Linked DNA regions of Mus musculus. The protein of the gene in region 1 purifies or fractionates together with the protein of each later gene. This does not show direct contact. Links are inferred from orthologs where the notes say so. Each region holds a gene or a part of one and is shown on either strand. Other genes may lie near its edges.

Evidence for each region.
Region 2: the proteins of Rad1 (region 1) and Fen1 purify together in Homo sapiens (affinity purification with western blotting; 3 studies listed by BioGRID). This does not show direct contact. The link is inferred for Mus musculus from reciprocal best matches to the Homo sapiens genes RAD1 and FEN1.
Region 3: the proteins of Rad1 (region 1) and Hus1b purify together in Homo sapiens (co-immunoprecipitation; 3 studies listed by BioGRID and IntAct, counting the BioPlex papers as one, with this or other methods). This does not show direct contact. The link is inferred for Mus musculus from reciprocal best matches to the Homo sapiens genes RAD1 and HUS1B.

What each region holds. Positions count from the first base shown.
Region 1 is NC_000081.6:10,484,494-10,488,946, forward strand, and holds the start of Rad1 (cell cycle checkpoint protein RAD1), read left to right. Parts: upstream 1-1,524; 5' UTR 1,525-1,771; intron 1,772-1,959; 5' UTR 1,960-2,025; coding exon 2,026-2,223; intron 2,224-3,496; coding exon 3,497-3,605; intron 3,606-4,453. Other genes in the region: Brix1 (ribosome biogenesis protein BRX1 homolog), read right to left, coding at 1,242-1,400. UniProt on the Homo sapiens protein: Component of the 9-1-1 cell-cycle checkpoint response complex that plays a major role in DNA repair. The 9-1-1 complex is recruited to DNA lesion upon damage by the RAD17-replication factor C (RFC) clamp loader complex.
Region 2 is NC_000085.6:10,198,483-10,201,397, reverse strand, and holds the end of Fen1 (flap endonuclease 1), read left to right. Parts: intron 1-300; 5' UTR 301-319; coding exon 320-1,462; 3' UTR 1,463-2,266; downstream 2,267-2,915. UniProt on the Homo sapiens protein: Structure-specific nuclease with 5'-flap endonuclease and 5'-3' exonuclease activities involved in DNA replication and repair.
Region 3 is NC_000079.6:30,946,009-30,949,128, reverse strand, and holds Hus1b (checkpoint protein HUS1B), read left to right. Parts: upstream 1-1,367; 5' UTR 1,368-1,454; coding exon 1,455-2,285; 3' UTR 2,286-2,553; downstream 2,554-3,120.

The DNA.
Region 1 (4,453 bases):
TTTCCAAACCTCAAAATGTCAAATACCCTCTATACTACATGTTCACTGTTTACACCTCCACTGCCCAACACTGACCCTGCACATTCTCAGCTAACCAGCTGAGTTTAGAATTTCTAAACCCCCATTTAATGCCGTTGATGAATTTTTTCCACCACCCCCCCCCCCTGTCTTTCTAAATACATAAATTTAAGCCTTTCTTTGAAATTCAGCTAAAAGTTACTATTAGGGTGTTTCCTTACCACCCTAATAGTAGTAATTGTCTCATTAATTCCAATTCATATATCATAGTGTGATTCAGATTAGTTCCCTTCATGTTTCATGTCCAGCTCCTAAGAGGGAGCGCACTAACTTTTATTGAAAACCAGCTAATTTTCCTCAAAAGTCACTTTTATCCTTTCAGACAAAGGTACAAGATTTAACTGTTAATTAAAAGTGGGGTACAATGTCCACATTGCCTCACTCAGTACTTGAGTACTACACTAAGCACAAAGGACTAACAAGTCTGAGGCAAGATTTCCTCCATACAGATACCTTCCTTAAGGAGTTTCCAGGTGACTGAAAGTAACTCCAACAAGAACCTGCTGGCCTTTAGAAGAGACACACAGTTTTCTATGAAGCCTTCTTTCCTTCTAAACTCCAATATTTCTGGAGGAACTCTTGTTCATTATTTCCTAGATGCTAAGGCCAGGGAAGCTCATCTTGGTATAAGTGTGTCGCACTGTTTGACACAGTAAAACTAGTGGTCTAGGACCCTTGAGTTAAAAGATCTAACCAAACAAGTCAGAGTCACAGACTCACAGGACTGTAGCTTTAAAGGCTTGGCAAATAAATAAATAAATACATACATACATACATACATACTTCGGTAATCCTATGTGATACGGACCAAAACAGAAGGAATTTATAGTTACACCAAAAAGACTCTGAGAAAAAAAAAAAAAAAAGACAAAGGAAAACCATTACTCTGGGGAGGCGGGGTGGGGGTCAGTAACTGGAAGACAAGGATCCTGGAACTAAACACCCATTAAATCAACTCCCTGTTAACTGGCTTAGGGTCTACGAACTGCTGTCTCCAGGAAGAAGGCCATCTACACGAAAATTAGACATAAACACTGTCCAGTCCCTCCAGGGAACCCTAAGCATAAGATCCTGTCAAGTTTTGACTGGAGTCACTTCGCTGCTTCGGTGGCCCAAAGGTGGGTCAGAGCGCCGACTCCAACTTCGGGAGTCGGGCCTCTTACCTTGCAAACCGGACCTGGAATACGATCTCTATTTTCCTCCTCCGCCTCTTTGGCCACATCGGCCTGCTTAGCTGGCTGCCCGGCATCTTTCGAGCTCCTTTTTGGCTTCTTCGCTTGAACCTCCAAGCCTCCACGCCGCTTTCTCTTGGTCGCCGCCATCTCGCCTCGCCGCGTCGGTCGCTGCCTGCACTTCCGGTTCTGCCGCTCGCTCTGCCTTCCGATCTCTATGGTAGCCCACGTTAGGCTGTGAGTTAAGTCATCCGGCTCCAAGGCGCTCGCTTCCGGTCTCGAGGTAGACTCTCTAGGCACACGGCGGCTCGGTGGTGACGGTGGCCTAGGTGGTTGCGTATCTGAACGGTGGCGGGAGCTGTTTGCCTGGCTTGCTAGCTTTTTGGACGCTCAGGGTGTTCTTGGGGCTGGGGTGGCAGGGGCTTTGAGGGGTCGGACGTCACCCACAGCCTGGCGCCAGGGGCTCCCTTAGTGGCCGCTGTGCGGCGAGCGGGCCGAAGTCGCGTTCTCCTGCAAGCCAGGTTGGTGGCGCTCAGAGGTGCTAAGCAAGCCCGGTTACCCGCGCCTTTTAGAGCTACCCTGTGAACTGCATTCAGTGTAGAATACCGTAGTTTTGAGACATGAAAATAGAATGATCTCGATTTCGGCTCGGGTTGAGGTCGCCAGTCCTGTCCGCACTGATAGCGAGGTTTGTTGTTCCGTGTCTCAGGTTTTCACACATCTTCCGGAAGAGGAGCATCCTTCTTCTCGGAGCCGACGGTACCGTGGACCATCCATGCCTCTCCTAACCCAGTACAATGAAGAGGAGTACGAACAGTACTGCTTAGTGGCCAGCCTTGACAACGTTAGGAATCTCTCCACTGTCTTGAAAGCCATTCATTTCAGAGAACACGCCACGTGTTTTGCTACCAAAAACGGAATCAAGGTTACAGTGGAGAATGCAAAGTGTGTGCAAGCAAATGCCTTTATTCAGGTATGGGGGAGTGAAGACATTTTTAAAGCATTCCCTAATGAATGAATTTGGAAGGACTTAATTCAACAAAACTCAAGTTAGTGAACAAAATGTCGTTACTTTTTTTTCTTTCCTGCCAACAAATACTTTCCCCATCTTGTCTCACACAGATAACGATTACTAGTGATAGTTTATTAATGACTCTTCTCACCATTTTCCTCTTTTAATCTTTACACATATAGACACTTTCTCGTTTGACATAGTGGCACCAGATTTAATTTTCAGTAGTCTTACAACTGATTGAATTAGGGCGAGAACCCTATTTACTCTTTACAGTATTATTGTCATGCACGTTTTAGTTTTTCCTCTTATTGGCTGTAATTTTTCCTCGGAGCATTTTCCCCCGGAGATAGAGTCTAACATGTAACCCTGGTTACCTGGAACTTGGTTTATAGACCAGACTGGCTTCAAGTTCTTGGAGATCCGCCTGCTTCTGCCTTGCCTCTGCCTCCCAAGTGCTGGGATTAAAGGCATGTACCACCACTGCCTGACACTGAATTATCCTATCCTTAAGTGACTTTAGCTTTAAGGGATAGGCACAAGACAGAGTTAGGGCAAGTTCACATAGGTGTTAAATTTAGATACAGAAATGAAGATGAAGAGCCCTTACTAGGGGGTGGTAACTTTGTGGTGTTTGGCTTTTTAATATTTTTAGAAAGGTTTATTTTATGTATGTGAGTACATTGTCTTCAGACAGACCAGAAGAGGGCATCAGAACCCATTACACATAGTGGTGAGCCATGTGGTTGCTGGGAATTGACCTCTACCTCTGGAAGAGCAGTCAGTGCTCTTAACCTCTGAGCCAACCTCCAGCTCCTGGCTTCTTAATTTCGTGTGTATGAGTGTTTTGCCTGCATGAATGTCTCCAAAAGGCGTGTACCTGGTTCCTGCCAAGTTCCTGTGAAGGGGGTGTTGGATCCCCTGAAAATGGTTACAAAAGGATTTTAGTCACCGTGTGGGTGCTGGAAATTAAACCTGTGTCTTCTAGAAGATTAGCAAGTATTCTTAACTGATGAGCCATCACTTAGTGTTCCACGTTTAATGATTAAACCATTCAGTAGTATTCAAGTGGGGAAAGGTTGAAAACTTAGTATGTCTTAGTTGGGAATGAGAAATACTCTCATGGAGTTGGCAGAGTATTGTTACTTTCTAAGCATAAAGTGAAATATAGACGTGTGAATTTTCATTCTTTAATATAATCCACTTTCATGTTTTCATGTTTGCTTTCTCATAGGCTGACGTGTTTCAGGAATTTGTCATTCAGGAAGAATCTGTTACTTTTCGAATTAACTTAACTATCCTTTTAGACTGTTTATCTATTTTTGGATCAAGTCCTACACCAGGTGAACTATTTTACTACTACAACTACTGCTACTACTATTGTTGTGGCATAAAAGTATTTATTATGGTTAAAAAAATAGAAAATACATACAGGAAGGTTTCTAGAATATAAGCTTTTTAATTTTTTTTAATCTTTTTTTTTGGAACAGAGTCTTATGTATCCCAGACTGGCCTTGAGCTCCCTGTGTAGCTGAGGATAACCTGGAATTTATCTTCCTGCCCTTGCCTCAAGTGATGAGATTATAGAGATAGGCAACCATTTATAGTTTTATGTGGTGTTGGGGATTGAAACTGGCACTTCATACGTGTTAGCCAAGCACTCGACTACAGCTGAGCTACGGCCCCAAGCCCAACAGTATTTTGTTAGAAAACTAACTTCTCAGGGAAGGACTAGTGAGGCCCCACCCCTAGTAGAGATGCTTTTGGCAGCTGATGGCAGCTAGGGGAGGGAAAAGTCATTTCTTTGGAACAAGTTGAGGAGTCCTAGGGAGGGAAGTATTAGGCCCTAATAATTAGGGGGTGCATTTGTATATATGAATTAAATTTTTAAAGAATAAAGGGAAACTGATTTCCAATTCATTTTCCTCCTAGTTGTTATAATCATAGGACATAAATATTTAAACTACAAGTTGAATGTTTGTTTTAGTTCTTTACATATTTGTGAAGGTATTTATTCATTTTAGGTCATCCTAATAGGCAAGGTATGTTATTACCTTACCTTCCTTTTTGCTGTGAAAAGAATGACTGACAAAGCAGTTTTAGGGTTTATTAATTAGGCTCACAGTTGGAGTGTGTAGTCCATGTGGCAAGGATGAACCTGGAAGCGAAGCAACAGCACAAGGCGGCTGGT
Region 2 (2,915 bases), on another chromosome or scaffold:
GGACAGCCAGGGCTACACAAAGAAACCCTGTCTCGGAAAACCAAAAAAAAAAACAAAAACAAAAGAACATCCCAGATCTCATTCCTTGAAGCGCCCAGAACAGCTTCTGATTGTCAGGAGGCCTGCTTGAGAATGGTGGATCTTGTTCACCTTTGCCTCTTCTGCTCTGCTGGCTTGGAGTCCTGCTGTGTCTCATGTTAAGTTTGATGAACCATGAGACTGGTGAATGTTGCCACTTAAAACTTTTGTTCCTTTTGTATCCTCCAAGTTCCTCCTCTTACTCTTCTTTCTTTGTTTTAGCCATTGCTCCTGTGCTACCATGGGAATTCACGGCCTTGCCAAACTAATTGCTGATGTGGCCCCCAGTGCCATCCGTGAGAATGACATCAAGAGCTACTTTGGTCGCAAAGTGGCCATCGATGCCTCCATGAGCATCTACCAGTTCCTGATTGCTGTTCGTCAGGGTGGGGATGTGCTGCAGAACGAGGAGGGTGAGACCACCAGCCACCTGATGGGCATGTTCTACCGTACCATCCGCATGATGGAGAATGGCATCAAGCCTGTGTACGTCTTTGATGGCAAACCACCACAGCTGAAGTCAGGCGAGCTGGCCAAGCGCAGTGAGAGGCGCGCCGAGGCTGAGAAGCAACTGCAGCAGGCTCAGGAGGCTGGGATGGAGGAGGAGGTGGAGAAGTTCACCAAGAGGCTCGTGAAGGTCACCAAGCAACACAATGATGAGTGCAAACACCTGCTGAGCCTCATGGGCATCCCTTACCTTGATGCACCCAGCGAGGCAGAGGCCAGCTGTGCTGCCCTGGCAAAGGCTGGCAAAGTCTATGCTGCGGCCACGGAGGACATGGACTGCCTCACTTTTGGCAGCCCCGTGCTAATGCGACACTTAACTGCCAGTGAGGCCAAGAAGCTGCCCATCCAAGAGTTCCATCTGAGCCGCGTCCTGCAGGAGCTGGGTCTGAACCAGGAGCAGTTTGTGGATCTGTGCATCCTGCTGGGTAGCGACTACTGCGAGAGCATCCGTGGCATTGGGCCCAAGCGGGCTGTGGATCTCATCCAGAAACATAAGAGCATCGAGGAGATCGTGAGGCGGCTGGACCCCAGCAAGTACCCCGTTCCAGAGAACTGGCTCCACAAGGAAGCCCAGCAGCTCTTCCTGGAGCCAGAAGTACTGGACCCAGAGTCTGTGGAGCTGAAGTGGAGCGAGCCAAATGAAGAAGAGTTGGTCAAATTTATGTGTGGTGAAAAGCAGTTTTCTGAAGAGCGAATTCGCAGTGGGGTCAAGCGGCTGAGTAAGAGCCGCCAGGGCAGCACCCAGGGACGCCTCGATGATTTCTTCAAGGTGACAGGCTCACTCTCCTCAGCTAAGCGCAAGGAGCCAGAACCCAAGGGGCCTGCTAAGAAGAAAGCAAAGACTGGGGGAGCGGGGAAGTTCCGAAGGGGAAAATAAACCTGTCCTTCCCCTCCACTGTCCTTGACCCCAGGCTGTCTATCTGTTTTGTACCCTCGGCTGCAGCACATCCCTCTTGTCCCTCGTCTTGAGGAGAGTTCATTGCTTCCCAGCGCTGCCCTTCAGAGCTTTCCCTCTCTTGACCCTGTGGCAGGAAGGCCGTAGCTCTGCTTTTTCTCATTTTTAGCTCAGGAAAGATGTCAGGCTCAAACCACTTCTCAGGTTAATGGACACTGTAGTCATTGTTCTGTGCAACTGCGAGCAATGTCTTAAGGAAGAAGAAGATAAAGCCGGGAGCGAGGCTGGAGATAGTTTCCCAGCTGGCCAGCTGGTGGAGGAGAGGTGACTAGAACCTGACTGACTACTGCTCCTTCTAATTTCACTGTGCCCTGAAAGATGCCCATCAGCCTGGGATTCGCTGATGGAAGAACTGCAAAGAGACGAGCAGAGAGAAGTCTGGCTGACAACAGATTTAGTACTGACCAGCTGATTTTTGTGGGCAGAAATTTGAACTTGCTGCCTGCTGAGTCCAGTAGTTGTGCAGGGAGTGAGATGGCAGTGTTTAAGTTTTGATTTGTAGTTTTTTGTTTTTGTCTCTCCCCTCTCCAGTGTTGGGGATTGACCCCAGGGCAAAGGCATTAAGTGTGCCACTGACCTGTGCCTCCAAGTGATGTTCTGACAGCCTTTCTGAGGCAATCAATTGAATTGAGGTTTTGGGAGAAGAAACTGTTGTTCATAGGCTATTTCTATTTTAAAAGATGTGAAGAGAAAAAAAAAACAATAAAATTATAAAAGTGACCAGAATGTGTCTGAATGTTTGAAAACACCCTGAGTGCCTTAGTTTCCTGTAGAATAAATATAATGGTTTCCTTTCCCCCTCTAAAATCCCCTACAGCCTGGCTGGGATTGCCCTGGTAACAAGTGGTTAGTTTAGGACTGACCACAAGGTGGCGCTGTGCCCATGTAAGGTGGCCACAGCAGCTGTGGTGGCACCAGCCTTTTGTACTTAGGAGTTTGCATAGCTTGACTGGATTTCACACGTTCCACCATCTGTGAGATAAAGGAGTCCCCTGGAACAGTCTTGTAGTTTAGATAAACTATCTTATAACATCCAGCCAGGGCTACACAAATCCTGTCTCCACAAACCTATAAAACAAGTAGGTAAATAAAAGAAGCCTTGTTCTTACTGAGATTTCAGGTGTCCGGGAAGAATGAAAGTTTTTGAGTACTAATACATTTAGGTTTTCCCAGAGAACAACAGAGAATGAGCTATGTATATGTTAAAAGGAAATTCACTAAAGTGGCTTACAGGGTGTGGTCCCGATAGCCTAACAATTGGTATCCAACAAGAAAGTCAAGAATTCAGTAGTTTAGTCCACAAGGGATGTCTCAACTGATCTTCAATCTACATGAAGAAGTAGGTTCTAATACCAGAGAAGGGATGTCTCAGCAA
Region 3 (3,120 bases), on another chromosome or scaffold:
GTAAGATGAAGAAAGCAGTCAGATCTTGGTCTCTAAGACACCTTAGTCAGAGATCTGTGCCATCATCATCACTGCCTAGTTGAAAAAAGTGGAGCTGAGCAAACACTCTGCTGTACTAGATGAGTATAGAAGTTTGAGCTTCATCCTTTGTATTTCACATGGATCAGGACTCTAGGAGCACAAAAAAAAAAAAAGACAAATACATTTCACATACAAAGATTCAGTATTTTCTTAAGGGTAAAGAACATCATCAATAATATGAAAGCCAAATACTAACCTGGGCCATATTTACAGGGACAGAGGGCTAATGTTCTTGTCAGAGATTTTATTCTTTTGTTACCCATTTATTTATTTAAGATAAAAATCTCACCATGTAGCTTAGACTGGCCTAGAATGTAACCCTAACTTTCCTTAAACTTGTGATCCTTCCTCCTTGCCTCTGGGCCCCTGTGTTGGAATTATTGGAATGTGTCACCAGCCTGGTCTTATCAGAGATCTTAAAAATCAAGCAACAAACTCCACAAAAGGTCATGAATGTAAAATTCACATACATACATTGTAAGTTGAAGCCATGCTCTTCTACCTATCACATCACTACATACAACATAGATTGTTATATGATGCTGCTGATGAGAAGGTATGTTGATAGAAATTTCTTTGGGAAAGTTTGGTAACAGAAGAGTTTTAATATGTACATGCAATAACCAAGATTTCCCTTTAAACTTAACTCAAGTAAATACTGACAAAAGTAAATGTATTTTGTGTAATTCATTGTTATCCTAGGAATAGGTCAAAATTGGATCATGTAAATTCCTCTTATAGAATAATTATTTTTATCAATATACTGGAAAACTAGCCATGAAAATGATATAGACTTGCTAGCATGTGATAGTATGGAGTGATATCCATTATATGTGCATTTTAGGCACAAATGCCAGGTTATAAAATGTGTATCCAATTTATCACATTATTTATAAGACATGTAGTAACGTCTGCAAGTAATGTCTGGACTGAACAGGACTATAATATATATTTAGTATATGTATGCACCAAAATGTTTTAAAAGGGTTGGTTGTCTCAATGGTGCTGGTGATTTTAATTGTAGTCACACTATGTAGAGTGACCTTCTTATGAGCAGACCAGAAGCAGTGAAATATTCAAATAGGGCAGGTAGGTAGGAAGGTGAAGAGACAGTCCAAAGTGTGTCCCTGTAGCATCTGCCCTCGGTGGCCTCAGGTGTAAGTGGGCCTGCAGGTAGGTGGAACCCAAATGCAGGCAGTGCTGGGGCAGGAGGGAGGGGCAGTAGAGCGCACCCCAGTCTTGGTAGGTGAACTGGCTGTGTCCCAGGCCGGAAGGGTAAGCAGGCTACACTCCAGGCCGGAAGAGTGAACCAGCTGACTTCTCTGGCAGCGGGCTCCTCACAGCTCTCTCTACCACCGAGGTTTTGAGGCACCATGAGGTTTCGGGCCAGGATCACCAGCAAGCGTTTTATAGAGCTCTTCATTCAGGTCAGCAGCACCGTAGCAAAGCTGGCGAAGGTCTGTGTGCTCCGTGTGTGCCCTGACAGGCTGTACTTCTGTCCCATGGGGCTGCTGGGTGAGGCCCAGCTGTGGGGTGAGATGCGGCGCGATGTCTTCCACCACTTCTGCATGGAGGGTGCCTCGCAGGAGTTCAACGAGATCTGTCTTGAGCTGATGTCTGAGCATCTGGCCAGAGCCGTGAAGAATGCCGGCAATGCTTCATCCCTGAAGCTCCAGCTCACCAACAAGCAGCGCCCCTGCCTTACTTTGGTGGTGGAGCTGGCATCGTGCCCCGGCCACACCCGTGCTGTGGTCCACGATTTGCCTGTGAGGGTGCTTCCCAGAAGGCGATGGAAAGACTGCACAGAGCCCCATGTTCGGGGCTCTGATGTGAGTGTTTATCTGCCAGCTCTGAAGACCTTGAAGAACATGGTGGAAAGGATGGCAAACGTGGGCAGTCATGTGCTGGTGGAAGCAAACCTCAATGGCAGAATGAACTTGACTGTAGAAACTGATAGAGTGACTATTAAAAGCTATTTTAAAAATCTTGGAAATCCTCCAAATGCCGTTCTGTGTATGTCTCAAGGCAGAGACCCAGAAACCATGGTGCAAGTGCGGGTGGATAATAGGAAGCTTCTACAGTGTTTTGATGGACATCAGATAAACCCCACAATGGCCTTATGTAATATTTTGAGCAATACTCTGCTTCATCTTGTTTTGGTTCATGAAGATATTTCTCTTCAGTATTTTATTCCTGCTTCATGAATTTCAAGCAGCCTTGATTTTCTTTTTAAAAGAATTCTTAATTGAAGCACTTTCCAGAACTGAGACTTTGAGTTACTTGTGTTAAAAGCCTGCAACCCCATGGATTTGGTAGAGTGTTTATTTTGTTGAGTGCTTCCTTTGTAAACTGTTAAGAAACAGTTGGAGAAATAATTAAAAGTTCATGTGATTGTTTTTTTGGTTTTGACAGTTACATTATATTCAACTTAGTTGTTTTGGAAAAAAAGGATTATAATAAAATAATATAACTGAATCCTGAAACAATTATTGTATTATTTTATTATGAAATAAATTGTGAAGAGTGAGAAAATTCTCCTTTTAAAATAAACTAAGTATTTTGAGAGACTTAATGCGCTCAGTCTCTCTGAAAGGTCTGAGATGGATTTTGTATGTCCACCACAGATTCCGAGAGGCAAACAAGGGTCTTCTGAAGGTCCTCGGTAGGAGTCTTTACGTTACTGGTGAGTAGCCATTTCAGGGTTTAAACTCTCTGACAACTCTCTTCCTCACCTCGGAGTCAGACACTTGTTTGTTTGGTGACTATTTAAAGAAAGGTGAGAACTATTTGTAAACGCTATTTTGGGAAAGCTTCGGGATATTCAGGTTGTGTGTGTATATGTCTGTGCTGTAACACAGACATGCTTTCTGATTTCTATTGGTAAGCTCAAACACAATGACCCAGGCAACTTATAGAAAGGAGGGGTTTTTGCCTTATGGTTTTTAGAACAATAAGAATCCATTATGACAGGGAATCTTGGCAGCAGATGACAGTCATGGTACAGGAATAGCCAAGAGCTCAAACCCTAAACTTTGTGTA